Cricetulus griseus: one gene and its partners. The protein of the gene in region 3 interacts with the protein of the main gene of each other region in a pairwise test. Links are inferred from orthologs where the notes say so. Each region holds a gene or a part of one and is shown on either strand. Other genes may lie near its edges. The genes, in order: Nme7, Usp2, Nefl, Ndn, Kifc3 and Skil.

What was found.
Region 1: the proteins of Nefl (region 3) and Nme7 interact in binary tests that used the Homo sapiens proteins (3 or more experiments, as listed by UniProt). The two-hybrid records come from large-scale screens. The link is inferred for Cricetulus griseus from reciprocal best matches to the Homo sapiens genes NEFL and NME7.
Region 2: the proteins of Nefl (region 3) and Usp2 interact in binary tests that used the Homo sapiens proteins (3 or more experiments, as listed by UniProt). The two-hybrid records come from large-scale screens. The link is inferred for Cricetulus griseus from reciprocal best matches to the Homo sapiens genes NEFL and USP2.
Region 4: the proteins of Nefl (region 3) and Ndn interact in binary tests that used the Homo sapiens proteins (3 or more experiments, as listed by UniProt). The link is inferred for Cricetulus griseus from reciprocal best matches to the Homo sapiens genes NEFL and NDN.
Region 5: the proteins of Nefl (region 3) and Kifc3 interact in binary tests that used the Homo sapiens proteins (3 or more experiments, as listed by UniProt). The two-hybrid records come from large-scale screens. The link is inferred for Cricetulus griseus from reciprocal best matches to the Homo sapiens genes NEFL and KIFC3.
Region 6: the proteins of Nefl (region 3) and Skil interact in binary tests that used the Homo sapiens proteins (3 or more experiments, as listed by UniProt). The link is inferred for Cricetulus griseus from reciprocal best matches to the Homo sapiens genes NEFL and SKIL.

Annotation. Positions count from the first base shown.
Region 1 is NC_048598.1:27,936,610-27,941,880, forward strand, and holds the end of Nme7 (nucleoside diphosphate kinase 7), read right to left. Parts: intron 1,133-5,271; coding exon 1,001-1,132; 3' UTR 986-1,000; downstream 1-985. UniProt on the Homo sapiens protein: Possesses an intrinsic kinase activity. Displays 3'-5' exonuclease activity with a preference for single-stranded DNA. Does not seem to have nucleoside diphosphate kinase activity.
Region 2 is NC_048597.1:155,789,717-155,793,516, reverse strand, and holds part of Usp2 (ubiquitin carboxyl-terminal hydrolase 2), read right to left. Parts: intron 3,214-3,800; coding exon 3,102-3,213; intron 3,011-3,101; coding exon 2,900-3,010; intron 2,393-2,899; coding exon 2,328-2,392; intron 2,144-2,327; coding exon 2,040-2,143; intron 1,953-2,039; coding exon 1,872-1,952; intron 1,786-1,871; coding exon 1,707-1,785; intron 1,517-1,706; coding exon 1,409-1,516; intron 1,080-1,408; coding exon 959-1,079; intron 384-958; coding exon 296-383; 3' UTR 1-295. UniProt on the Homo sapiens protein: Hydrolase that deubiquitinates polyubiquitinated target proteins such as MDM2, MDM4 and CCND1. Isoform 1 and isoform 4 possess both ubiquitin-specific peptidase and isopeptidase activities.
Region 3 is NW_023276807.1:223,081,450-223,086,791, reverse strand, and holds the start of Nefl (neurofilament light polypeptide), read right to left. Parts: upstream 3,259-5,342; coding exon 2,212-3,258; intron 1,352-2,211; coding exon 1,227-1,351; intron 825-1,226; coding exon 505-824; intron 59-504; coding exon 1-58. UniProt on the Homo sapiens protein: Neurofilaments usually contain three intermediate filament proteins: NEFL, NEFM, and NEFH which are involved in the maintenance of neuronal caliber.
Region 4 is NC_048596.1:135,133,725-135,137,587, reverse strand, and holds Ndn (necdin), read left to right. Parts: upstream 1-1,721; coding exon 1,722-2,699; downstream 2,700-3,863. UniProt on the Homo sapiens protein: Growth suppressor that facilitates the entry of the cell into cell cycle arrest.
Region 5 is NC_048596.1:171,330,361-171,335,052, reverse strand, and holds part of Kifc3 (kinesin-like protein KIFC3), read left to right. Parts: intron 1-3,480; coding exon 3,481-3,619; intron 3,620-4,692. UniProt on the Homo sapiens protein: Minus-end microtubule-dependent motor protein. Involved in apically targeted transport. Required for zonula adherens maintenance.
Region 6 is NW_023276806.1:119,739,820-119,745,266, reverse strand, and holds the start of Skil (ski-like protein), read right to left. Parts: upstream 3,093-5,447; 5' UTR 2,957-3,092; intron 1,393-2,956; 5' UTR 740-1,392; coding exon 1-739. UniProt on the Homo sapiens protein: May have regulatory role in cell division or differentiation in response to extracellular signals.

The DNA of each region.
Region 1 (5,271 bases), on a different chromosome or scaffold from region 3:
TACATACTCTGCACTTATGTATATGGAAATATTCATTCTCATGAAATAAAAATTAAAAAGTCGTCACAACAAGACCTTAGCAAGTTACTAACAACACCAAGTAGTTCATCTATCTCAGTAAACTTTGAAACATACACATAATGTTTTCTTAAATTAAATTATTATTTTGTTTGTTCCTTCACAGCTTTTTTTTTTTTTTTTTTTGACAGGGTTTCTCTGTGTAGCCCTGGCTGTCCTGAAACTTGCTCTGTAGACCAAGCTGGCTTTGAACTCAGAGATCTCTGCCTGGTTAATGAAATTATCCCCCCCCCCCCCCCGTTTTTTTCGAGACAGGGTTTCTCTGTGGCTTTGAAGGCTGTCCTGGAACTAGCTCTTGTAAACCAGGCTGGTCTGTAACTCACAAAGATCCATCTGCCTGACTCTGCCTCCCAAGCGCTGGGATTAAAGTAGTGCCCTTAAATCAAGGACAGAAGGTAACTTGGCAAGTGAAATGATGACATCAGGATTTTGTCTGGTAGCTCCTGGGTGGTTGACCTCACGTTCAGGTTAATCAAGAGTAGGAAATTCTTTCTTTCCCCTTTACTTCACAAAAAGTTGCTCACAGAGTATCAATATCTCCACTATGCTGGAGGCATTGAACATTTGAAGTAAAATCTTTTTAAGTTCTTTAAAAGCTTGGAACAATCTGGAAAACCTGCTGAGTCTACTTGTCTTTGAAAACCCTAGGCCTAATACTTTCCCTGTTATACTACTCCTCTGGCTTTTTTCTAATCAGAATAGAAACACAACTCCTAACGGACAAAAAGAGGAGTAGCAGTAATATTTCTGAATGAATTCATAAAAGAGGATGGATTTGATTAGGCCATCAATGGTTTAGGCCCCTTTCTAAGTTCTCGCAGAAGACCTTTAATTAGCTACAGAGAGTTACTTATTACCTCAGAAACGCTTACTTAGTCACTAAGAAATGGACAATGTGCAGATCAAAGACAAGGAGCTGGGGTCAAAGTGCAGAGAGCAAAGGCCAATGAGTAGATAGTTTCACCTTCCTCCTCGGGTTTTCAGAGCTAAGTAGATGAGGAGCCTGGACAGCTGTGGCGGTGACTAGCGTGAATGATGCATCAGATGTGTTGGGCTAAGAGACACAAATGCATCCAATCAGAAAGAACACTTTCTCCCTTGCTTGAGACCTGATCAAAGTCAGCCACCTGCACCTGTGCTACTTTTAATACCTCCCCCCTTGTCAGTTCTTTTTGATCATAATAAACTCTGACAATGCTATGGTTCTTCGCTTCCAGGCTTTTCAGAAATGAAATCAGCGGGGGACCTTTTTATTTGCTGGTTTTAAATGATGTTTAACTCTGAGAGGTTAATGTTTCAGTCACACACTTCTTTAGAGGACATATCTGCATGGCACAGTGCTCCTGTTGTAGATCTAGATCTAGATGAGCCAGTCTTCTAACTTGTTTCCAGTTTATGATGGGGTGCCTTCCTGATCTTTAATAACTGTCATTTAGCTACAGAATACTTATCTTAAGCCTATAACAAATATTTTCATGTTCTATAAGAAGGGCAAATTTAAGAGTCAGAAGGCAAACTAGCTTCTCTGGACCCTGTTATCAAAAGGAAGAGCTGCATCTTGATGACAGGCCACAGCTAATGGAGAAATGGTTGCTGGCATTACCCTGGATTTCAAGGACCTTTGTTTACCTTCTAATCTACCATGGTAAAATCTCAGGAAAATGTCATACTCATTTAAATTGAAGTATCAGCATTACTGAAGACATCAAAGTAAAAATAAAGGCAAGTTATGCTAGGGAGATGGCCCAGCAGTCACGAGTGCATACTGCTCTTCCAGGCCACTCAACTTTGATTCCCAGCACCCATGTCAGGTGGCTCACAACTGCCTATGACTCCAGCTTCAGGGGACCCAATACCTCTGACCTCTGTGGGTAACTACACACATGGCTTGCATGCGCTCCCACGCATGTGTGCACACACATTTTTAAATAAATAAAATTTAGAAAAAATAAAGACAAGCATTACTTATTTTGAATGGAACAGCATCTGGATTCTGCTTATAGGACACAGCAAGTAGAGATGTTTGCTTGTCTAGACAGAACTGCTTTCTGGTCCCTTCCTATCAGCTCAGCTACCTTGCACCTCTCAAACCTCAGCTGCTAAAGTAAATGATCCATGAGTTTCACTTGCTGCCAAGTGACAGGCAACAGAGTTTATATGGTAAGAAGAGAGGTTGGGAAAGAAAAAAAAAAGAGGGTCTGGAGAGCTTGCTCAATGACTAAGAGCACTGGCTGCTCTTTCAGAGGACCTGGGACCAATTCCCAGCACCTACATGGCAGCTCACAACCATGTATAACTCCAGTTCCAGGGATCTAGTGCCCTCTTCTGGCCTCTGTAGGGACTAGGCATGAATGTGGTGCACGGATACATATGCAAACAAAACACAAACACACATAAAATAAAATGAAATGAAATACAAAAAAAGGAAGGAAGGAATGGAGGAAGGAAAACCAAAGGAACAAGTATAGGTCTAGTTGGGAGGTGGTGGCACTCACCTTTAATCCCAGCACTCAGGAGGCAGAGGCAGGTGGGTCTCTGTGAGTTCAAGGCCATCCTGGTCTATAAACTGAGTTCCAGGATAGCATCCAGAGCTACAGAGAAACCCTGTCTTGGAAAAAAAAAAAAAAAAAAAAAGAAAACCAAAATAGCTAGGTCTAGCATAGAGACTGGATTTCTTGCAAGGGAACAGGCTTGTGTTTCAAACACCAAATGCAACTCTCTCTCTCTCTCTCTGAAGTTTCTTTTTCTCATTTCTTCTTAAAAGGACAGTGTTTGAACCAGATTTTTGTGTGTTTTCTATGTGGTGAAAGCAGAGTGAGTTGTACCTTATAGTGAAATTACACTTGAAGTCTTACCTCAGCTGGGGTATAATTTGTAAAAAGCAGCTAAAAACCCTGACACCTATCAGGTGTTCCATGAAAGTCACAACCATTCCTCTTTGTCCCTGGGTAGAGGCTGAGGAGGAGGGAACATCTGAGCATGTGCAGATGGCTAGAGGAGACCCACCCCACTCAGGCTGCGGTAGAGGACTCAGAGCAGGTGAATGAACCAGCTGTTCATTTGTTGATGCTCCAGGGTGATAGATGTGGCAAGAGAGGAATAAAAGGGTGAAGAAAACTGAGCACCCAAAGGACACAGAAGCCATAGACCAGGACTCTGCAGAGGCTCTTGGTCCCAAGGCCCACCCCTCTGTGCTGGGTGGATCTTAGCACTGGACAGATGCCTTGGCTACATGTAGAGAGAAGGGAAACAGAAGACAGGCAGGTCTCCAAGACTAGGACATAAACTTGGGGGGCTGGGAAGTGTTCATGGAGTGGGCCCCATCAGCCCTGTCCTTTTAAGCATCTTCTTTTCCATCCACTTTCAGAAGTCTCTCGTCATGACTTAGCTGCTGACTTGGCTTGACACTGAAGCATTAGATGCCTGGAGTCCTACCATAGAGTTCATTCTACCTTCTCTCCAGACACACACACACACACACACACACACACACACACACACACACACACACACGTACGTCGCCTCTTCTGTTGCCCAGGTCTTTCATATTCAGTCTCTCTCTTACCATCTCTATTTTTAATTTTTCATGTATTTTACAATGAGGAAGGGAACTATCTAACAAGATCAATTTTAAATGGCACCTTTTATGAGACGTTATAAACTGGTATATATACACACACCAGATGTGTATATATATATTTCACACACATTATACACACATATATACACACACAGTAGTTATACACACACATACACACACACACACACACACACACACACTGGTAAAGTGTAATATATGTTCCCTTTATTTAGGATATTTAAATTTAAAGAATGGAGCTTTTCTTAAAAATATATTATAGCCATTTTTAATTCTAATACATTTATTTTTCAATGATCAAAGTAGATTTTAAAAAGATTTTGTTTTCATTTTTAAGTGTGTGTGTGTGTGTGTGTGTGTGTGTGTGTGTGTGTGTGTGTGTGTGTGTGCTGGATGTGTGGCTGTGAGTGCAGGTGCCTATGGGGAGCAGAGGTGTCACTGGAGCAGGAGTTACAGACAGTCGTGAGCTGGGACTCAAACTTGGGTCCCCTGCAGGAGCAGCATGGGCTGAACCGTCTCTCCAGTCCCTGATTTAATCTGCTCATATTGGTTTAACACAAACATTTGTGCCTGATTCTGTCCTCTGAAATAAGTATTATGATTATTATCCTAGTCTTATAATGAAGGATCGAGGTACAAGAGTTTAAACAACTTTCTTAAATATCAAGCAAGTTGCAATTCTGGAGTTTAAACCCAGATACAGTCTGAGTCATGATGCACTCTATGTACTTAAAATATTAGCCACAGAGCTATCCCTTAATGTATTGTCATTACTTTTTTGAGTACAGTGTATTGAATATCTAGCCACTGGAGATTGAATAACTAACATAAAATACAAGCCAATGTTCGCACAGAGCAAAGGCTGTGGAAGAATGGTATTCATGTAGATATGGATTGCTGCTCACAGTAGGACATTTCTAAATATCTGGGCTACTGTGTCCTTTAGACTTCTTAGTGGATGAGCAGAGCATATGTTTCCATTCCTATTCACATTGAATTTCCATCTTTGGTTGAGGGAACTCTACTTTACCGAGTCATTTCTCAGTTCAGAAACCTTTGATGGATCCTGTTTTCCACAGCCAAGGGAGCTACTGTTTGTTATGCATAGAAAAAAAAAAACAAAAAAACAAAAAACCCTCTCATGCTCACCCATAGTGGGCTCCAGCAAACCATCCATAAAATTACATCTGTCTAGTAGTGGTCTTAGAGTCTTACCAATAAATCAACAACTGGCTCTTGTATTTAAATTGTTTAGCCATCTTGCTTTTAGTTTTCTGGTGAAAAAAAGCATTAGGTTTGGAACATGAGACAGACTTAGGTTTGAATTTCAGTCTCATTTCACTCATGAGAGCATTACTCTCATGTACAAACTGGAGATAACAGAACTTTCAGGTGACCCAAGCAAACTGTTTAACAAATGCAGCATATATTGCTTGGTAAATAGCATTTATTACTTTTATGGTTTTTTTTGTCACCAGGAAACTTCCAAAGGTCCCATAACTTCTCTGTAATTTATATTTCCATATTTATCTCCCATAATTTATTAAAACAACCTTCTATTTCATCGAGATTTAATAAACCCAGTAGTGTCCGCT
Region 2 (3,800 bases), on a different chromosome or scaffold from region 3:
AAAAACCACAAGCTTAAAAATGCAAGAGAAGCCGAGGAGCTGAGGAACACTGCTGACTCCGTATCTGCATCAGTCCGTCTCCCCTGACGGGCCGTGGCTCAGAGGCACCGGGCTCCTTGCTGCAGACCCCGACCAGGCCCGTATCAACTTCTGCTCGGCAGCTTTATTTTACTTTATTTTTCTCTTACTTGTCAGGATTTTGTTGTTGTTTTTGTGGTTTTTTTTTTTGAATTTTTAAAAAACTTAGGACGTGGGGCTGCCACAGGGAAGAGGGAAGGGCTGTAGCTCCTCAATGCTACATACGGGAGGGTGGACTGGCCAGTTCATAGAAGAGCAAATAGGCGTCGCTGGTGCGCACTTGGCTGGAGGACATGGGTGTGACACTGGAAAGATCAGGGAAAAGTCAGAGCCTGTCAAGGAAGGTCACTGGAGACACAGAGCTGAGTGGCTGAGGTTGGATATGTCTCAAACTTCTCTATGCCAATCTAAGCTCTGACTCGTCCTTTTTTTTTTTTTTTTGTCAAGATTTTTATTATTTTTAAATATGTGTATGTGGTATGTGTGTGGATACTTGCACTGAGTGTAGGTGCCCATGATGGCTAAGGGCAATAAACTCTTGTCCTCAGCAATAGTGGTAAGAGCTCTTAACCACTGTGCTATTTCTTCAGCTCCACCCCCAACCCTTTTTCCCTTTTTGGAGACAAGGTCTCACAGCCCAGACTGACTTCAAACTTGCTAAGTAGCTGAGGATGACCTTGAACTCCTGATCATCTTGCTTTCACCTCTCAGATGTTTGGTTACAGTTGTAAGCCACGGTGGCCACTTGGGACAAACCCAGAAAGGGCAGCATAGTCTTGTGTGTGTGATGTAGCTTTTGGCCTCGATTTTGTCCATTCAAGACGGAAGCCATATGAGGTTGCCTGCTGTCTAGGAGCCCTGTCTGAAGCCCATCTCTCACCTGGAGTCATTGAAAGTGTGCCATTCGCCCGTTACTGGACTTCGGCAGTAGGCTGTATAATGGCCTCCCATGGTGGTTCCGGAGTGATTGGACACAGCATACAGGTTGTAAACAGCATGGTCTGAGGAGGAACCACAGACAGGTGTCAAGCCCTGGAGGCATTCCTGCCCTTCCTCCATTTTATTTCCTATCTTTTCCCTTACAGAAAACAGCTTCTACTTAAAAAAGGTTGAAATTTAATTTTAGTTTGTGTGTGTGTGTGTGTGTGTAGGTCAGAAGGAAATCTTGAAGGAGTCAATATTCACTTCTCTCCTCCTGTGTGGTTTTGGGGTTCAATCTCAGATCTGTATCTCACCGGATCCTTACTTCCCAGTCTTTTCCTAATTTGCTAGCTTCCTCCCGCCTCTGCCTCTCAGCTTCAGGAAGCCTGTCCTCCTGAAGTAGACTCACTGGTGTTTTCTGAAGCAAATTCTCTCAAGTCCAGGTCTCTTAGTGGAAAATTCACAAATGTTGTGAGCTTGCTGGTTCGTATCCTGGATTCCGAGAACCGCTTCAGGTCTGTGATTGTCTCCAGTCAAGGACAAAAAGCCGGAAGAGAGTCCTTGGAGAAGCAGCTCTTCTCAGGAAGCAGGAAGACAAACACAGAAGCCTACACTGTTTTCACCCTACTCTGCTCCCCTCCCCTTTTGGTCCCTTGTCATTAGTCACCCCCAAAAGTCAGGTCCCAACCCTGGGGGGTTAAGGATACGGAGCACCAAGATCTTTGGGAACCTCTGCACAGAGAATTTCTTTATACATCGTTTCCTGGCTCGGCAGCGGTAGCATGTCTGAAAGACAGACAACAGGGGCTAGACCCAGGTGGCCCTTCCCCGTCCAGGCACTGTGGCTGGCTTCTGTCACTGAGGATACTTACTGGTTTTTCATCCCCATCCAGCACATCCTCTTTGGTGAAGAGCCTCATACAATCCATTAATGTCACCTCAGGATAACCTCTCTGGAGAGAAAAAAAAGTCCAGGTCAGCTGTCCATAACCTTGCAAAGCCCAAGAGGGAAGCTGACACGGGGCCACATCAGGGCATACCTTTGCAATGGGCAACGAGAGATCCCAGAAGGGATCGAAGACTGTAGAGCAGTAGCCACAGTCGGTGCAGGTCAGGGAGCTCTTCAGCTGGCCAACAAAGAGATCTGGGGAAGAGAAAGCCAGGGTGAGCTGCACATACGGAGTGCTTGCCTTCCTTTTCTCCCCACTCTTGCCTTGGTTTTGAGAGTCACAGGCAGAAGCAGGGTTCCCTGGGAAAATGATCTTCAGGGCTTCTCAAGCAAAAGTAGGGGACAGCAGACACAGGTATTTTCTTGTCTGTGTACTTACCCCCAATTCGACTGTCTTCCCTCTCCAGATACTTCCTCCACATCTGTCGCCCTTTTTCATCATCACTGGGAACCGCAGACAGGAAGACAGCTGCATTAGAGCTCAAACCCTGATATGCTTAGGTGCTAGCAACTAGAATATATTTATATGCAATATGGTTTTTGTGGTGCTGGGCATGGAACCCCAGGCCTTGATCATGATCCTCACACAGTCCACTGAGTTGTACCCCACAAGCCATCGTTTTCTTCAGACAGGGTTAGCCCAGGCTGGCCTCCTACCTCAGCCTTTTGAAATCTAGGATTACAGGTATATACCACCAAGCCTGGCTTCAAAATCTTCAATCCTGAGGATGTCACTTAGTGGCAGAGTGCTCTCCCATCATGTACAAGGCCCTTATGTACAATCCCCAGTAACACACACATTACTGTCACCAAAATAAAAAAGCTCGTGTTTAAAAACAACAAAGCAAATCTGATTCTCCCCTCTTTGAGAGATCACCACTCTCAAAGAAGTGGTATGCATCTCAAGTTCACAAAGGCTTCACTTCACAGCAGCATTGTCCTCTTACTTACGGGAGGTGATCAAGATTCTCAGGGCTGGGCTTGGGCCTCACAGTCACCCGGTTCACCTCATTGTGGAGCCCATCCAGGAGGAAGCGAAGGAACTCCTGAGCATCCTGCTGACTGAACCCAAAGAAAGTGAGTGAGCAGCATCTACCAACACCCTGCTTGTGCCACCCCCTCTTGGGGGAGGACATGCATTCGAGGCCCTTACTTATAGCCAACAAAGCGTGGTGCATATCTCTGAATCTGGGTCTTGAACTCAGATGGGCTCACCACATCATTGGGGGATGATGTCCATATGGTCTGGATTAGTTTTGCAAATTCTGTTGAAAGGAACAACCAGAGAGAGGGTGGAGGAAAGGTGAGATATTTGCTTTTGTAAAAAGCAATTTTATTTTAGTGTGTGTGTGTGTGTGTGTATGTGTGTGTGTGTGTGTGTGTGTGTGTGTGTATGTATGTATGTATGTATGCTTGTGAGTGCCCAAGGAGGCCAGAAGAGGGTGCTGGACCCCTGGAACTAAACTTACAGGTTGTTGTAAGTTGCCAGACATGGGTTCTGGGAATCAAATATGGTCCTCTGTAAGACCAGATGGCTCGCTCAACTACTGAGCCATCTTTCCAGTCCCAGGATTGTGTACACACACACACACACACACACACACACACACACACACACACACACACTGTACACACACACACACACACACACACACACACACACCACACACACACACACACATACACACAAAACCTTGAGCTAGGTATGGTAGTGCACACTCATGAACCCAAGTTAAGGTAGAAGGATCAGGAGTTCAAGGCCACCTTGGGCTACATGAGACTGTCTCAAAAAAAAAAAAAAAAAAAAAAAAAAGACAACTATCCAACCAACCCATGGATTAATCAAACAATG
Region 3 (5,342 bases):
TCTTCACCCTCGCCACCTTCCTCTTCTTCTTTTGTGTCTTCGGACTCATCCTTGGCAGCTTGAACATAAGAAGAAAATACAAGATCCGAATCTAGGTTAAGTCCAGGCAGAACATTTCAGCACATACTCTATAAGTTACTAAACACTACTGTCAGAGTGTGTCTATAAACCTCTTGCCCCACTCTCCCGAAGGACACGTTACAGACAGTGCTTGTGGTGAACAATTTGGCAGGAGACATGTATTTAAATAAAGGGATATAACTTCCAGGTGCTGGGAGCTTATCTCCTCTCTAAACCACCAAGAGTTAAAATATGAACCTTCTGCAATTTTTCATAGATGCTTATTAAATGTGTGTGTCCTCATCACACGTGTATCTTTTATTGTTGCAAAACTCACAAAGAACTCCCTAGGTAGTAGGCAAAGCCCCATAGCTCATCCATCTCCCAATGAATACCCACAGCCAGTATGCACTAGGAATTCTAAAGGGTTTTGTCTTTGTATACCTTCTTCCTCCTCAGCGCCTTCCTCTTCCTCTCCCTCCTCCTTCTCCTTCTCCTCCTCTTCTGCTTCTCCCTCAGAAGGGGGTTCATCCTTGGCCTCCTCAGCTTTGACAGCCTCAATGGTCTCCTCCACCTCTGTCTGCTCTTCCTGGACGTGGCTGGTGTAGTAAGCTGGGAATGAGCGAGCAGACATCAAGTAGGAACTGCTCTGCAAGCCACTGTAGGCAGAGCGGCCGAAGATCTGCGAGCTCTGGGAGTAGCCACTGGTTATACTGCCCACGCTGGTGAAACTGAGCCTGGTCTCTTCACCTTCCAAGAGTTTCCTAGGGGAGAAGGGGCAGGTGAAGGGTACAGTTAGACCACACTGGATGTGTGTTCACGACTTGTTCTAAGCCCACCATGCATCACTTTCCCCTGTTGCCAACCTCAAAAGCAAACACAGCAATAAGCAGGGTTAGGCATAATTACGATTTAATAGAGATTTCACAAGAGACCATGCCCCCCCCAAATCTTCTATGGAGCCCTATTAGATTTAAGATGTAAATGCTAAGAAGAGGGCTTACATTGCTTCAGGGTCAATTCATTATATGTTTGTACCTTCTTGGAGGAACTCCAAAGTAGGGCTACTCTAGAACACTTGTGATTCAACATAACTCTGCCCAGACTCTGGTTATCTGATCTTTTCTGAGGTGCCATGCCCACTGCCTGCTCCATTCCAGTTTTACCTGTAAGCTGCGATCTCAATGTCCAAGGCCATCTTCACGTTGAGTAGGTCCTGGTACTCCTTCAGGTACCTTGCCATCTCACTCTTCGTGCTTCTCAACTCATTCTCTAATTTGTTGATAGTGTCCTGTTGGAAGATTGTTTTAGATTTTCAAAACACAAATCTCTACTGCTTTTATTTTACTGTGATGTTGGTGTAAGGACTAGCTTCAGTTAACTCCAGAGTGTGCACCTTCAATAAAATCTCCCTTAAAATAACTGCATGGTTTTATGGCCTAAAATGTTCAGTCTAGTGATGCATGAGAAGGGGAGGGAGGAAGGTGGACTGATGTAAACAACTTTTTAAATTTTCTTTAGTTTATTGGTTATGGGAAAATGTCTAAAAAATACCAAATTGATTTTTTAAAAAAGGAAGAAAACAAAAAAGAAAGAAAGAAAGAAAGAAAGAAACCCTTTGTCACACTTCTGTCTTTTAGCCAGGTCACATGCTTTCCACAACTCTGTTTCTACTCCCCTGAAGATGAGGACTAATAAATAAATAAATAAATAAATAAATAAATAGGTTGCGATAATTGGCTTAAATATTCTGACTGTATTCTAGTGTCCCTGTTAAAAAACAAAACTATTCCAAAGCTGGGTGATCCAGAACTAGTGAGAGCTAGCCACTGTATTTATTAACCAGGAGATCCACAAAGTGCCAGGTTAACTTTGAGTTGAGTGGTCAGTAAAGAGTAAGCATCAGACTAGTGGCCACGCCCAACTCCAACTCCCTCCTCCCCTCCTCCCAACCCATCCCTAAGAACACAGCAAGCCGCAGTGGCGCCCCGCCCCCTCCAAGTGCCCCACCCTTTCCACAACCTCCCGGAAGCCAAACCCTCTGATAGCAGCTCCAGGCTCGAGGACCCCCTAGCGTTCACTCTCTGGGTGCACCCTGCACCCGGACTGTGCAGCCTCCCCGCCCCCACTGTGCTTGAACTCGTGCCATACCTGCATGGCGCTGATGTCTGCGTTCTGCTTGTCCTCCAACTCCTGCAGCTGCTTCTCCAGAGCTTCGTTCATACCCCGGCATGCTTCGATCTCCAGGGTTTTAGCCTTGAGCAGGCGGCGGCTCTCGGACACCTCATCCTTGGCAGCGCGCACAGCATCGGTGTTCTTGGCGGCACTCTCGGTCAGCACCGTGAAGCGGCTCTTGAACCACTCTTCGGCATTCTGCATGTTCTTGGCAGCCAACTTCTCATATTGAGCGCGGATGTCCTTGAGGGCAGCGGAGAGGTCGGGCTTGGAGGACACGTCCATCTCCACGGAGATCTGCGCATACTGGATCTGAGCCTGCAGCTCGGCGATCTCCTCCTCGTGCACCTTCTTCAGGAAGGCGATCTCGTCCATCAGGCTGTCGATTCGCTTCTCCAGCTCGGCTCGGGCGAGCGCGGCCTCATCGGCGCCTTTGCGGGCTTCCATCAGCCGACCCTCGGCGTCTTCGCGGCTCAGCACCTCCTCCTCGTAGCGCGCCTGCAGGTTGCGCAGAGTTTCCTCCAGCCCCTCGCGCTCGCCCTGCAGCGCCTGCTTCTCGTTGGTGGCATCTTCCGCCGCCAGGCGCAGATCGCGGATCTCCTGCTCGTACAGGGCGCGGAAGCGGGACGGCTCTGAGTGTTTCTGGCGCAGCACCAACAGCTCGGCTTCCAGGACCTTGTTCTGCTGCTCCAGCTCGTGCACGCGCTCGATGAAGCTGGCGAAACGATCGTTGAGGTCCTGGAGCTGTGCCTTCTCCTGCGTGCGGATCGACTTGAGGTCGTTGCTGATGGCGGCTACCTGGCTCAGATCGAGGTTCTCCAAGCTGGGCATCAACGAGCCGGAGCTGGACGAGTAGCTGCGGCGCACGGACAGCGAGGAGGAGACCGGTGCGGAGTAGCTGGAGTACGCGGAGCGCGCCGTGCTGTAGCCGCTGCGCACGCTGGAGATGTGCACCCGGGGCGTCTCCACGTAGCGCCGCTTGTAGGAGGTCGAAAAGTACGGGTCGTAGCCGAACGAACTCATGGTGGCGGCCGGTGTGCCCCTCCGGCCAGGAGCGGAGATGGGGGACCTAGAGAGAAAAACGGGGAAGAAGAGGGAAATGGGAGGATGGATGGCTGTGTGCGGCTCGGCGCGGTCCTGCCACCTCTATTTATACTCCAGGACTCTGACGCAGACTGCGATCGATCGCGGTGCGCAGGCCAGTGGGGGCAGTGCGCTGCAGCAGCCAAGGGGAGGATTCTGCGCAAAAGCGAGGGCGGGGGCGAGCGACAGGCAGCTGGCGAAGTGCGGCTTCCGCCTGGCAGCTTTGCTCTGAGACCCTCCACTTTCTATGAGACCCCCACAACCTCCCTGTTCATTCCTTTTCCTTTCCCACTCCCCCAGCCCACTCTGCCTACTAATACCTAAAGCCCTCAATCACTCGGATCTTTAAATGTTCCAGATAAAAGGCTCTCGCTCCCGAAACTGACACATCAATTTTTAATATCCAATGTCTCAAAGACACCCTGACCCCACCCCACCCTTAGCTCGCCCTTTCTCCACCAGGGACCCTCTTAAGCATCCTGCTTTGTGTTTACGTAGCCGGGTGTTGAGTCTGGGGCTGTTAGGTTACTGACAATAGCTGAGGGTAGCGTCCATGCGACATTCCTGCAGGAAAGTTTTGCATGTCTTTGTAGCTATTTTCTGACATTTTCTTATATTCTCCTCCCTTTCTCCTGCCTCCTTTTATTTATTTTGCCTTATCACTCCGTTTCTCAACACATGGGGGACATGCCCCACCAAACACCCTTGAGACCTCAGGACAGCGGGTGGTCATTTTAACATTTTAAAACCTTTACAGGAAGCAGTTAATTTGTCTGGCACCTTTCATAAAATTTCTCCTTTCTTTGTGGGGAATGAAGCCTGAAATGCTTGGGATGGGGTTGAAACAAATCAGGCAAAGAAAGACTTGCAAGGCAAAGACGCACTCTGCAGCGCAAGAACTTCAGGGTGCCCGTGTGCACACTGATCTATTCCGGCTTCTTTCGCATCAAAAGCCTCTTCCCCTCTTTTACACCTGTGTGGTACCCCAACCTGATGGTTTCGACAAGCCATGCAGGTGGCAGGTTTTTTTTTTTTTTTTCTTAAAGCTTGAGGGGAGAAACCGCTGCTGCGAACAGCTGCCAGCTCTGGGTGTGGTCTCCTAGGAAAAGAATTCAGCCTGGAAGCGGAATGAAAATAAATAGCCGGCTGAAATTCATAGGTAACAGATGCAATAGGGAATCTATGGACTTCCTTCGGGAAGCACTCAGATACCCCAGATACCAGAGTGGGCAAGCCAAACGCACATGAGTGCAGCACTTTCATACTCAAGCTGTGAGTTCCTGCAGTTTCGAAAAGATACTGCAGAGATTCAGATTCGTTGGAAGTAACTAAAACCGCTTTTGAAGTAAGCATTTGGCGTTTTGTTTAATTTGTTCAACATACCACTAGCGTACTGTTTCCTTTAAATGGCCCAATAAGGGAGTATGGATAACGGTTTTCAAATAGGGAAGTGAAGTTTTTGGAGCTGTGCACGGTCGCTTCTGGAAACCGAAAAGAGGGTGAGGTGAGGTTTATTCTGCAAGTTCTTTTCTCATCTTACACTTGCTGTGATTCTGATAACTCGTCCCCTAAATGGAAGAGGAACCGACTGAAGCAGAGGACTCCCACGGGGTTGCTGGTAGTTTAAATCTGTTAAGTCTAAGCCATATTAGAAGCCCACCCCGATTATACATTCTATGCTTTCAAGCCTAAAGTCGCCAGGCTGCCTGCGACTTACGAAGCCAGCATATAGGGTCAAGTACTATTCAGATAGTTCTCTGTAGCCTGCATATCCTTTTTCATATTCATCAGTGATCAAGAGGACTTAAAGGGGAGAAACGCACACATCACACACACACACACAGAGAGAGAGAGAGAGAGAGAGAGAGAGAGAGAGAGAGAGATCTTGAATAAGTCATAGCTCTCCTTGCTTCCTATTATTCCCATATATATATATATATATATATATATATGTATGTATATATGTGTGTGTGTGTGTGTGTGTGTGTGTATGAAAAACTGCAGATTTTTCCTCAAGCTAGCTC
Region 4 (3,863 bases), on a different chromosome or scaffold from region 3:
TGAATATTTTCTATAAACTCAGAGGATGTAGCAATAATAATTAAAGGAAGAATGGCACTGTGGAAACATGAAAATACACTATCATAAAATTTCTCTAATATCTTAAGGAGAAATATAAATGAAATCAAAGTGACCCAATAAATGTGGAAAGCTGAAATCTATAGATATTAAAACAATTGTAAATCAACTAGCTAAACATCCAGTTATGGATGAATGCATAAAATGTTATATATACATATATACGCATATATGAGTATAATTGTACATACAAGTATATTCATGTATGTGTTAACACATATATATGTATATATACATAATATGTATATATACTGTTCTCATAACTAATTTGATGTCTCATGTACAATATAATATTGTTTATTACTTGTGACAGCATGTATGAACTTGATGGAATTGTGTGAAGTGAAAAGGGCTATATATAGACAAAGCTTCCTGATCTCCAACATTTGTGGAAATGAGGGAGACATGACATCAAATAAGTAGAGAGTAGAAAATTGATTACCAAAGGCTGTGAAAGGAACATGGAGGATAAAGATTGCCTTCTGAAACAAGAACATAGTTAGGAACAATATTCTGTAGTGTACTATAACAAAGTGCAGTGGGTGTACTCAGCTATACATGTTTAAGGAGATAGAAAAAGGAATTTTAAATATCCCTAAAGGTTAAAGTGATATATGTGTTAATTATGCAAGTTTGCTTACTGCATATTGTGCTTGTGTATAAAGACAAACTCTTATTTGTGTCAATTATATGTGTATATTGTGTAAGTGTATGCAAATTTATGAGAAGGGTGTTGTGTATCCTGCTCTATTGTTCTCTACCCTATTCCTTTGAGACAGGATCTCTCACTGAACCTAAACTTGGGCTGGTTTCTGGCAAATGCCTGTAATTCTCCTAATTGTACCTCTCAGAGCAGGGTTTACAAACACAGACTATGCCATTACATTTTTTGTGAGTCTTAGGGATTTGAACTAGGGTTCTCACACTTGCACTACAAATGCTCTTACCCATGGACTGAGCCAATTCCCATCCCAATAAAAAAATGTTTAAACACACACCAATTATGCTATATAATTTTATTACTTCCAAAACATTCAAATTCCACTTGGGCTGATTTCCAGTGTCTGTAATGACACTTTATATTCTTCCGTATTGGATCTGGACTCAGGTTTGGTAAAGATTTGCTCTATTAATTTTTCAACATTCCAATCTTAAACATCACATTATCTTCACAATGCTCGCACTTCCAAAAAAAAAAAAAAAAATCAAAAACTCATTACTGTCTCACTCTTTTGTAGAAAGTCCAAGCTCTCTAGCCAGTCTACCCCCTTTCACACAAAAACTCAAAGGTGCTCTAACTTGACTTCACCATCTCAGCTGCATCTTTCTACTTAAACTTGCTCCTTCCCCATCACCATCTCTTTCTAGCTCACCCAGGAGACCTGGAGATCTTTCCCATTAGTTTAGTGGTACCCTCCCTCAGACCCCAGTGGTTGGGCTTTGCATCTCAGCTCCTATCCAGCCCTACCACCCTTCTGGCTTGCCAACACGCATGCGCAGTGTCAAGTCCGCCCCGCCCGGCCGCTGCTGCGGAAGGCACAGCTCTCAGTAAAGCGCACTTCCTCTGCTGGTGTCCACTGAGGGAGTGCTGGTTCCAAGAGCTCCAAGTCGCAGCGGTCCTGCTCTGATCAGAAGGCGCAGACATGTCGGAACAAAGTAAGGACTTGAGCGACCCTAACTTTGCACCTGATGCCGCCAACTCCGAGGTGCAGGAGAGCTCTGAGATTCCGGTGGGGGTCCCTCCTCCCACATCTCCAGCCGCGATCGTCGCAGAGGCACCAGAAGCTCCTGAAGGCCCTATGGCAGCCCGGCAGGCCTCGCCGCCGCCTCCAGAAAGGTTAGAAGATATTGACCCTAAGATTCTGGAGCAGGCCATAGAGGAGGGCCGCGCCCACAATCCCGATAGCCCGGTCCGTCAGCTGCCAACACCACCCGCCCCGGCCCAGGTGGTGCAGAAGGCGCACGAGCTCATGTGGTACGTGTTGGTCAAGGACCAGAAGAGGATGGTCCTCTGGTTCCCAGACATGGTGAAAGATGTCATGGGCAGCTACAAGAAATGGTGCAGAAGCATCCTCCGGCGCACCAGCCTCATCCTTGCCAGAGTTTTTGGGCTGCACCTGAGGCTGACCAATATCCACACGATGGAGTTCGCCCTGGTCAAAGCCCTCAGCCCAGCAGAACTGGACAGAGTGGCGCTGAACAACCGTATGCCCATGACAGGCCTCCTGCTCATGATCCTGAGCCTCATCTACGTGAAGGGCCGCGGGGCCAGAGAGGGAGCCGTCTGGAATGTGCTGCACATCCTGGGACTGAGGCCCTGGAAGAAGCACTCCACCTTCGGAGACGTGAGGAAGATTATCACCGAGGAGTTCGTCCAGCAGAATTACCTGAAGTACCAGCTTGTTCCCCACAGCGATCCTCCTGAGTACGAGTTCTTCTGGGGGTCCAGAGCCAACCGTGAAATCACCAAGATGCAGATTATGGAGTTCCTGGCCAGGGTCTTTAAGAAAGATCCCCAGGCTTGGCCCTCCCGCTACCGAGAGGCTCTGGAGCAGGCCAGAGCTCTGCGGGAGGCTAATCTTGCTGCCCACTGCCCCCGCAGCAGTGTCTCTGGTGATTAGGAAGGTCCCCAGCATGTTGATAATTTCTGACCCATACTTGGGCTGTATAAGGGTGGGGTTGGGTCATTAGAGTATTCCACATTCACAGTGCAGTATTTCATGTGTAACCTTTAAGTTTTCCTTACAGTGCTTTTGTACCTTTCAATGCAATATATTCATTTGTGTTCGCTTGGAGCGTGTTAAGGATTTATGCATGTGCGTTTACAAGTAAGCAAGTGGATGCTTTCACTTCTGTGCTTTTTTGTACAAGAGATGTGCTGTGCTGAACCTGTGAAATCCATTGAGATGTTGTGTATCTATTCTTTGTATGAAAGTGATGATCTGTATCAACATAAAAGCCCAGGAGAGTTAGGAGGTGAGCAAAGCAGGCCTGACCAGAGAAAGGTCAAGGGCCCTCTTATATGAACTCAACTGGCACAGGAAGCATCCCTGTGGAATGGACTGATTTGAACTGGAATGTTCTCAGTGTAGGCACTTAGCACACCCTACCAAACATGTATACAACCCCACCATAAATAAACTTTGAAGTGAGCATTAAAGATCCTTGTGGAATAATTTCTTTGGGGGGGTATTTATTTTGTGGGAAGGGGGGTTGGGATGGGAGGGAATGAGGAAGATCTGCCCATGCACAGCATGCACAAACATGGTGTTCAACTAAAAGAGTGGAAAACCATTACCCAAGACCACTCAGGGTTACAGCTTTATTTTTCTATTTAATCAAACTGGTGACACTTCAAAGACTTTGACATTTAAGGGGTGTAATAATCAAAGAAAAGTATCTTATCACATCACATGGGGATAATTAATAACAGGTATTATGAAGTGACTTGCCCCTTCCCTGTTTTTTTTTTTTTTTTTTTTTGACGTTTTTGGTGGGCACTTAACAGAATGAAACATCGTTACCAAATCCTTTATGAGCACCTTATCCTTTATTTTATCCTCCCCCTATCCATAAGAGGTAGGAGGTTACTGAGTCAGCATGGAGGAAGAAATATGTAAAGAGTGTGGGTAATAAACTGTCCTAAAAATCATACAGGTTATATGCTGGAGCCTTGACTCTTAGCTCACCCACGGCCACCACACATATGAGCACCCTTTGCCTCCCTGCTGCATACACTAAGGATTTGATTTTTTTTAATTAATTCCAAAATCTTTTACAGGAAA
Region 5 (4,692 bases), on a different chromosome or scaffold from region 3:
TTCAGATCTGCAGACACTCAGGCCTAGAACTAGTTACCAACATGAATTCCCATACAGGTGCGGGGAACAGAACCTGGGTTCTCTACAACAGCAGCAAGGGCTGAGCCATCTCTCTAGCACCCATGTCTTACTTAGGGTTTCTATTGCTGCAACAAAACCATGGCCCAAAAGCAAGTTGGGGAAGAAAGGGTTTATTTGTTTACACTTCAGCATCACTGTTCATCACTGAAGGAAGTCAGGACAGGAACTCACACAGGGCAAGATCCTGGAAACGGGAGCTGATGCAGAGGCCTTGTAGGGCAGCTGCTTACTAGCTTGCTTCTCATGGCTTGATCAGCCCACCTTCTTATAGGACCAGCAGCCCAGGGACAGCCTCATCCAACATGGGCTATTGAGAAAATGCCTTGCAGATGGATCTTAAAGAGGCATTTTCTCAGCTGAGGTGGCTTCCTCTGATGGTGCTATATAGCCTGTATAGTACAGGCTACATTAGTGTATTTTTTTAAGATTTGTTTTTATTTTTATTTTTATATGCGTGTTTGGCTGCATATATGTCTGTGTACCACATGTACATCTGCTGCCTGTGGAGGCCTGAAGAGTGTATTGGATCTTCTCAGACTGGAGTTACTGATGGTCGTGAGCCACCATGTGGGTACTGGGAATTGAACCTGAGTCCTCTGGAAGAACAGCCAATGCCCTTACCTGCTAAGTGGTCTCTTCAGTCCTCCTGCATTAGTATTTTAATATGTGCATTTGCTGAACAGATATTTATGGATTGGCTGCCTTATGCCAATGCATCTAGCACAGGTGCAGGGATGATGAGAAGGGAAATAGGGAAGATAGCCCACCAGAGAGTCACCAGTGACCTCAAATGCATAAGCACCAATGGGAATACCAGGAACAAAACTTTAGAGAATGAAGTGCCAGTGTTATCTGGGGGTGTTGCCCAGATTTCCCTGAGAGAGGACTCAAAATCCCTCTGGCTTCTTTCTTTATATTTGTTAGACAGGGATTCCCTGTGTAGCCTTGGCTGGTGTGGAACCCAATGGCAGATACTGCTGCCTCATGTTCCCACATGCTGTGGTAGGAGGCATAAGCCACCATGCCTGGCTTTTCTCCCAGCTTCTTTGGCCTCATGCACATATCCTGCCCTCCTAAGTGGCCGCTGTGCATAGCCGGGATGAAGCAAGTGCAGATAGATGGTAGTCAGGATGGGCACTGGGGGAACATACACCTTTGAGCTGTCCTTCCTCTGGCTGCTGCAGCCCTGGGCCACTGCTCTGGGCAGGACCCCAAGGGCGATGGCACCTCAGCCACAGCCTGTGTTTCACCGTGTTTCTTTATTCTTGTGAGATTCTTCTGGGAGCTGAGCTGCCCATACTTTTGTCCTTTGTGAGGTCCCAGAGGGTCTGGTGAGACAACAGTTAAAGAAACCAGAGGGAAGTTAAATCGGGAGGCTGTGGTGAGGAGCTGCAGCTCAGCTGGGTGGTGGCCCTGTTCTTGAGCTTTGATTATGGGGTGCTGGGCTGTGGCTGCTATGGAGGCCTGGGCTCAGCAGTTCTGCTCACATTCCACTCAGAAGCTGATAGCCTCTGGCTTCCAAGTTCATGTCCTTCCGGCCCCTGCCGAACTCTGCCATGTTTATGGATATGGATATGTAACAAAGTGTGTCCCAAGCACAGTGAAGCGACCTGCAGGTCACAGAGTCAGTCACTCCAGCCTTGGTCCATCAGCTAAAGCCTGAGCTGTACCCCCAGAGGCAGTACAGAAATTCCCAGCCCCTGGGGACATCTGTCCTTCCTGTGCTTCGGCCAGCAGCCCAGAAATAGTGTAAACTTTGCTCCTGTCTGAAGGCAAATGGAAACTTCCAGCTGCTGCCATCCCTGCCTCCCCCACCTCCTCCAACCTGCTCAAGATGGTGTGACAGTTGAAGGGTGGGGACAAAATTTAACTAAGTAGAATTTTCCTAAATACGAAGATGAGGGGGAAAGAGGCTAAGGTCGTGGCTAACCAGGCACCTGCCCCGGCCACTTTTCACTCTTGCAATTCTCTTGATTGGCCTTTTGATGCTCAAGTAAGTGGAGACTAGAGAAATTATAAACTCACCACTGCTATCTATGTGGCACTTCTTGTAGGCCAGGCACCTTAAATGTGCTTTACTTGTGGCTGCCATTGGTTTGCCCACTGGCACAAGTGGGCAGAGGTTAGTGGTTCTAGATTGAGACTGTGGAAGGAAACTGAGGGAGGGTGCAGAATTTGTCCACAGCCACCCAGCACACAGGTGACATGCTGTCTCATTGGGCTTTGGCTTCCCTACTACCCTGAGCATTAAAGAAATGTATGTGGCACCTGGCCTAGAGTGTTGGCAGAAACCTTAAATCCCAGTAGTGAGGAGGCAGAGGCAGAGGCAGATAGATCTCTGTAAGATCCAGGCAGCCAGGGCTACAGAGTGAGACCCTGTGTATATAAAAGAGTCATACTTGACTTGAGAGGGCACAAAGACATAAAAGCTTCTTACCAGATGTTTCCGTGGACATAAACCAAACCCAACTGTGTTTATAAGGTGAAAACTTCAAACCCCAGATGTCTCCAGAATGACCAGGAAGACCCTGTCTGCTCATCACCTTGCCTTTTCTCCTGTGTTCTCCAAGTTTAAATTGCTTTTGTTTCTATCTCAGTGAGTCTCTGTGTATGTACACCCCACACTGAGCACACACGGAGCCTGTGAGATCTCCAGTTTCATTTTCACCTTTATCTTGTGTATGACCCTCAAATGGGATCACGCTTTCCCACACTGTTCTGACCCTTGCTCGGTGTCATTCTCTGGGGGCTACAGAGGATGTCTTTGAATGAAGCACCCCTTTCCCACTCCCCCACTTGTCCGCTCCAGCCCAGCTACCTTTGCCTCAGTTCCTGACCAGCACATGGGTTCACATTGCCCCTGGATAGCCTCATGGGACAGAGCCTGAAGGAGGCAGGGTAGTCATTTTCCTGGTCAGATGGACTCATGTGCAGCCTCTGAGTCCTGGGAGGGCCATCCTTAGGTGGAAGGCCGACTGCCAAGGTGTTGCAGCAAATGACACTACAGAGGAGTTGCCTTCTATACACGACATGATGTGTATATTGCAGGACTGGATAGTTGCCTGTGATGATGAGGCTTGGTGTGAGCCAGTTGCTCACATGCCGATGACCCGTGCCCCACAGAGCCTGCAGGGATAGCACCAGCTTCACTAGGGGACCATAGAATCTTCTAATCTTTTTTTTTACTGGTAGAGAGACTGGCTACTGTGGGGCCCAAGAATAAACCATGGCCATCTTCCTGTGGGATGTTAGTCTGGCTTCCTCAGATCCCAGGCAGGCTTCTTTGTCCACGGTGGAGACAAGCTGCTGGGCCGGGGACCAGAGTGCTCATCATCCCCAGCGAGGGTCCCTCCTCAGCACAGTACCCTTCATGAGAGGATTCTGGTTGTGTCTTGGCAGCAGGCCCTGCAGGACAAGGGGTGCAAGAGCAAGAGTCAGGGGACGAAAGAAGACAAGCTCCTGAAGAGGCAGGCGCCGGCCCCCAAGCGGGACCGGGAGGCCCCAGAAGCTGGTGGCACCATGAATGTAGAAAACACAGGTAAAGGAGGTCAGCCCCACCATCAGCACACCTGGCTGCACACCTGGCAGGACACCTGGCTGAGCTGGTACAGGACACCTGGCTGAGTTGGTGCAGGACACCTGGCTGAGCTGGTGCAGGATGGAGTGGGGTCCCAGCTGTATGGTATTCTGCCCCACAGCTGGAGGTGGTTCAACCAGTCTGGCCACCTGACATGAACTTGAGACCCTAGACAGCCTCCTCCAGATCCAGATCCAGATCCAGATCCAGGGACAGCTATGTATCTGTCCTCTTTCTTGTCCTGCCCCTTGTCCCAGGGCCACCAGGGCTCCACCCAGTGATAAGAGACCTTGGCCACTGGAGGCTGGGGTTGGGTTTCCCTTCTTTTTGTCTTTTCCAAGCACCCATCTAAAGTAGGGCCCAGGAGCAGCCTCCCAGACGCCACTGGTGCCTGCTGCAGAGGCCAGTCTGTGTCTTTCTAGTCAGAGGATCTAAAGGGCAGGAATTTGTTCCCTTCCTTCAAGTCCAGAAAACAGCTTGTGGTTCCATTATCCACTGCCTGCTATGGCACCCAGGGCTGACTGGCTTTAGAAGGTTCTCCAGGCCCCTTTGAGGCCCTCTAGGCTTTCCATAGTAAGTTCAGGCCAGTGATCACAGAGAAAGATCCTCCTAGGAGGCAGCCTCAGGGCAAGGCCAGCAGTGTGAGGGAGAGTCTGTGTGTCTGAACTTGCTGTAGTTGTTGTTGGAGGTCACTCCCTCCTCTGAGTCTGGGCTAGTGCCTGCTCTGCATGAGTCCTGGTCCACCTAGATTTGGGGCTCACGTAGGGTCTGGCTGAGCAATGGGCAGCCAGGGGTTCAAAATGGCCACCATCTGGCCAGCTAGGTGGGATAGGCCCAGAGGAGGAAGGCTGGGCCCTCCTAGCAATGAGGACTGGCACAGTACCTGAGCCCTGGGCCCTGTGGTGGGTGTGATTCTAGAAACTGACCTGTCAGGTAGTAGCTCCCTCAGCACAGGGCTTGTTCTGCTAAGGGGCCTCACCTCTCCTCCCATTCTCAGGCCTCCCTTAGCTTCTTGAAGAGTGTTTCTTCTACTT
Region 6 (5,447 bases), on a different chromosome or scaffold from region 3:
TCTTAGCAGGAAGTATGCTACCATTTTGAGGAAAAGTCCGAGGCCGCAGTAGAGCATTACAGAGTCTTTGCGCATCAGTCAATGTGATCAGCCCACAGGATGGGGCATTGAACGGAAGTATTCCTAGGACCTTTAAGATATGAAGCTGGTCTGAAGTACACCTTGAACAATATATGTATAGCTCATCACATACTGTGTTTATTTGCTGGAGTGAAAATTCTCGGAGAACAGAATTTAAGACTTGGGGCAAACAGAGTCTCTTTTCTCCTCCAACTTGAAAACAAGAAATAGACTCCCCTTCCAAAACAGTCTGTGTGAGCTCTGTGGAGCTATCAGAAGGAATGAGAAGAGGGCCAGGAAGAACCTGAGGAGATGGAAGAGGCAGGAACACAGTCGGCGACATGCTTTCTTGGGAGTATCGGGCAGAAAATGCTGCTGGCCCACCCAAAGAGCTCTGACTACTTAAATGGAATTGTGCCAGTGTGTGTTTCAGGCTGGGGTTTAAATTTAAAGTTTCGGGGATGGAAGTACAGTTTCGTTTAGCATGGTCTCTATCTGTCTCCACTGATACATCTCCATAGTCATCCAAATGTTCCTTCTTCACCTTGGTCAGCGTTTTTCCACTGGCATGCATGTCTGTCATCATTTTCTTCACGGGAGGGCTGCCATCATCCTCCATTCCATTCAGTTTTTTATTTGAACCCTGAACTAAGGAAAAATTGGACTGTAGGTTTTCCATGGCTACACTGGTGTTTTAAATAATTAAGTCTGCAATTGGCATGTTGTACTCAGTTTCTAATTTGAAGAGAAAGGGATAATGTATACAAATACTTATGGCTCCCTTAGAAATTTTTTTAGTTTGCAAAGATGAATTTTCTTTCTCGATAGATTTGTGCAACTTTTTTTTTTAGTTATACCTTAGGAGATAACCGAAAATACTACAAAACTTCTCATTTTGTATCTAACAATAAAGAATATAACAATAAGCAGACTTCTGAGGAAAGTCTTGTTTTCTTGAGTTCTTCAGATATTTGTATTAAAAAAAAAAGGCTAATTTCTGAATTCAAGATGAGCAAGGTTTGGTGTAATGGTAGAGTTTGGTGGTCTTGTCTTTTAAGCAAAGCATTGGAAAGTGTATGCCATTACTATATCCTAAAACCACACCCAAACAGGAGTTGCAATGATGCAACGGTTTAATTTTTGCCAAGGAAACCAAAGGGGGGGGCGCTAATCTTCACTGAAAATGGTGGTCTGCTGCTGTGTGTCCACAAACTGAAGACTTGTCTAAACCTCCAACACCAGTAAGAATCTGAACTTCTATAATCCAAAAAAAAAAAAAAAAAACTGCCCAGTTATCTTCAAGGATTACAGTTCATTCTTCTTTCAATTGACCTGGAGAAGAGAAAGGGTGGGGAGAGTTACAACTCAATATGCTCCAGAGGCCAAAGGGTCACTTTAAAACCAGTTTCTTAATCTTAAACTCAGTTCACTTTACCAAAGGTAACACTTGAGTGATTTCCTTCAATCAAACACGAGTTATCTAAAAGAAACTTCATTTAAATAGGAAGCAGCCCAGAAGATGGATAACAGGAACATTAAATAATATCCCTCCGAACAAGGAAGAGCACAAATTTAGAATACAAATAAATAAAACTCAGTACCAGAGGCTTTCTCAACTATGCCATTTTAATTAAAAAATTAGCTTTTATTTCATTTTAAAAAATATGTGGTTCCACCCTCCAAAAGAACCAGATACATGTTAATATACCTACCATATGTAACCAAGTTAGTCTCAAGTGGATTAATTCATCTAGTCAATATAAACTATTTCTGAAATTAAGGAAAAAAAATAAACTTTCCCTTTAAAAGGTTAGTGAATTTGCTTTAATGGAAGCCAAAAGCTGTAAGACTCCATGCCTGGAAATCTCCATCCTTGAGCAAGACTAATCCGGGACAAAAAAGCACAAGGCAGACAGACCTCACAAAGAATGCAAATGGAGGCAGAGTGGGGGAAAAAAGAAATCTTTTTCCACTCCCCTCGGGAGAAAATGCAACGAACGCCGATAAATAAAAACCTTTGCTTTCTAAACTCCCCGCGATTTACGTTTACACAAACCCAAAGGATGACCGCCGAAAGCCATCTAGCCGCCGTACTGTGACTTTCGCCACTCCAGGGACACCTCAGCCAAGGCGAGCCAAGGGAAAGGGCAGGAGGTATGACCTAGCCCGGGGGCGCACCACAGCCCTGCGCCCACGCAGACACCCACCCATCTTCAACCGAAGGGAGGTAGGACAGGAAAGCCGGGGACTCCGGACGTCTGGCGAGGTGAGAGGGGGCAGAAGGAAGTAGAGGGAGGAGTCCTCCCAACCCCCACCCGAGACTGGGATCACCCCAAGTGCCCTCCCCACATCGCCCCACTGCGGGGGCCGCCGATGGAAATCCCCACGCAGCCGGTCCGCGGGAAGTTCTCTGGGGTTACCTCGGCGCCCCAGGGCTGTGCCACCCACCCCCTTCACCTACCCCCGAGCCGTGGCACCCAGAGGGGCGCGGGCAGGCTGGGCGCCAAGCCCGGAAGCCCGCAAGCCCGAGTCGCCGGCCGCTCGGAGCTGGGGCCAGCCCGGGGCATCCCCGCGGAGCTCAGACGGCCGGGGGATGGCGGCGATGACCGGCGTCCAGGTCTCCCGGGTCTCGGCCGCTCGGGTCAAGTGCAGCGCCATCCCCTGCCAGCCGACCCGTCCCAGGACCCGCGAGGCCTGTACACCCGTGGGACCCCCGCCGCGCGCCCTGTGCCCGAGACCCCGCCCGGGACCCCACGCATCCCGGACGCCCCCACTCCGGCCCTCCGCACCCCGGGGAGGTCCAGGGGGTCTGTGGCCTCCCCATCACCCCCGCCGCCGCCTCAGCGTCCCCAGAGGCCGCACGCCCCTCTCGTCCCCTCGAGACCTGCGGCCGCACCTGTGCCCGCCGTCGCCGTCGCTCGCCCGCCGCCTTCGCTGTGCCTTCGCTGTGCCGGCGCCGCTCCGAACCCCACACACATCGCTACACACAGCCTCTGACGTCACCCGGCCCTCGGCCCGCCCACGTCACTGCGGAGACACGGCTTCCCGCAGACGCCGCCGCCGTCTCCGGCCGCCCGGGGGACAGCGAGGGCGGCGGAGGGGGGGGGGAGAGGAGGGAACGAAGCCAGCGGCGCCGCGCGGCCCCGCGCCAGCCAGTCCCTCGGGCGCGCGCGCCGTCTGGCCTATTGTGGCTCCTCCTCGCTGGCCGCGCGGTTCAGGCTGCGCGCTCGCGTCCCTCCAGCCCCGCCGGGGGCGCGCGCCCGGCGGCCTCAGCCGCGCACGCGCGTGCGTCTGTTTTCTCCCCCGCCCCCTCCCCCTACTCCCCGCTCCGGCGCGTGCTCCACGCTGCTGGCTCGGCGCGCCGTCTGGGCGGCTGGCGCACGGCGCTGTCTGCGGTGCCCGGCGCAGACAGGATGTTCCCTCGGCCCCACCCCCGCCGCCCTCCTTCCTTCCTCGAGTCGCCCAGCCGGCTGTCTGGGGCCGCCCCGCCACGCCCGCTGCCGTGTGGAGACGGGCCAGACCCGGGGGCGCCCCGGCCGCTGGGCCGCCGCGCGGCGGGGGAGGGGGCAGGGCGCGGCGGGCTGCACTGTGCGCGACCCCGGCAGCTGGCGCGCCCGATCAGGCTCGGCCACCCCCCCCTCCCCCGCGGCCGCAGCTGGCCGCCCGGCCCCGCCCCGGAGGTGGCCTGCGGGCGGCTCCCCGCCGCGACCCCTGGGGTGAGCCCGCCGCGCAGACGCCCCCGCCCGGAGGCGGCGACCCCCGCGCCGCTCCCCCTCCCCCCCCCACGGCCGCCGCGCAGACGTCGCGGGGCCCTCGCCCCTGTGGGGCCTCCTCCCGCCGCCGCCCTGCCAGCTGCCGGCCCTGAGCCCCGCCTGGCCGCGCTGGGGTGGCCTCGCCCGGCCGCCATCGTCAAGGGAGGCCGCCGTTTCCACCCCGCCGGGACAGACCTGGCTGCCCCAGCTGCTCTCGCCCTCCATAAGTGACCCGTTCTAATTCACTGAGCGCTTTCGTTTGGGGTTTTCAGGTTTTTCTTTTCTTTTTTTTTTTCAGAGACGGTAGGAGGTGGAGAAAGATAACCACTTTAGAGCTGTCGGCTGCCACCTCGGGCGGGCGGGCGGGTGGGTGGGGGGAGTTCCTAGCCAACGTACCCAGGAGAGAGTCAGTTCGAATATTCAAGTCTGTGGAGCTAGTCCGTCACATTTCGAAACAGCAAAGAAATCCCCTTTTCTCCACCCCACCGCAGGACCAGGAACTGAAATAGCGCAGACTTAGGGAACTTAAGCTTCGGCGGCCGCGCACCCCTCCTCTACTCCCCCTCCCCCCCTTTTTTTCTTTTCGCCTAGTTACTTATTTTACCGCTTCGGGGTTACTCATGTTTGGGTCCACATTTGCAGCTGTCCAATTAGGAGTACTTTTGTGCTCGAAGATTTTTCTCCTCTCTTCCCCCCACAGTAGGTCTAACAAAGCTCTTCACCGCCCCCGCCCCAGCTCCTGTCGGTCCCCATCTTCGTACTCCCAGGTCATGCCCCTCTCCCATCTCCTACCCTCCGCTCCTTGACTGCTTGCCTGTGTGAACATGAATAATTCCACAGCACTTCCCATCTGTTATTGCCATAGAGACAGAAGCTCAGCAAAGATAATGATGTTCTGTGCAGAGCCAGTGGGGGGAGAGCAGCATCTGCGAGTCTGGAGGAATAGATGTTCTAACCGCCAGAATATTCAGAGGCCTGCCTGGAAAGCCGAGGTGAAAGCCAGCACAGTCCTGAGACTAAGCACCTGGTCACCTTGCACCTGGCTCTGAATGTAGCCAGAAGAAACAAATTTAGAAAGCAAGATAACTGTGTGTGTGAGTGTGTGTGTTTAAGCCATTCTGAAAGTTCAATTAGTGCTAAGTATTTAGTAGTCCTCTTACCACCCATAAAAGTAATTACTTGCTAGCATGGCCAAAGGCCTAAGAAACAAAATTAGTTGAACAACAGACTTTTTAGAAAAATCAAATACATTTTCTCTCTGTTCTTTTGCTCCCTCCAGGAATCTGTTTTTGAGGGATCTTTGTGTCTGTGATAACACTTGAGAAACATAGTCACAGCCATGTTGCTAGAACCAAGCTTTGGGGGCATTTTCAGCATTATTCTCAATTACAAAATAAAATTCATGTTGCCCTTGAATTCCCAAGGTCTCAGCCTAAAGGTACAGCTTGGTTGTGAACCTAAGCAGAGCTGCCTGCAGAACTTTGCTGCAGATGGGTAGGCCCTTTCTAATCCACGTCTTTGAAGACTACTTCAGGATTTTCAGTACTATCAGTAAATGTGTAAATGTAAAATTAGGGCTGTGGATACAGCCTAGTTGAGAGTGCTTGCTGGCACAGTGTCTTGGGTTGAACCATA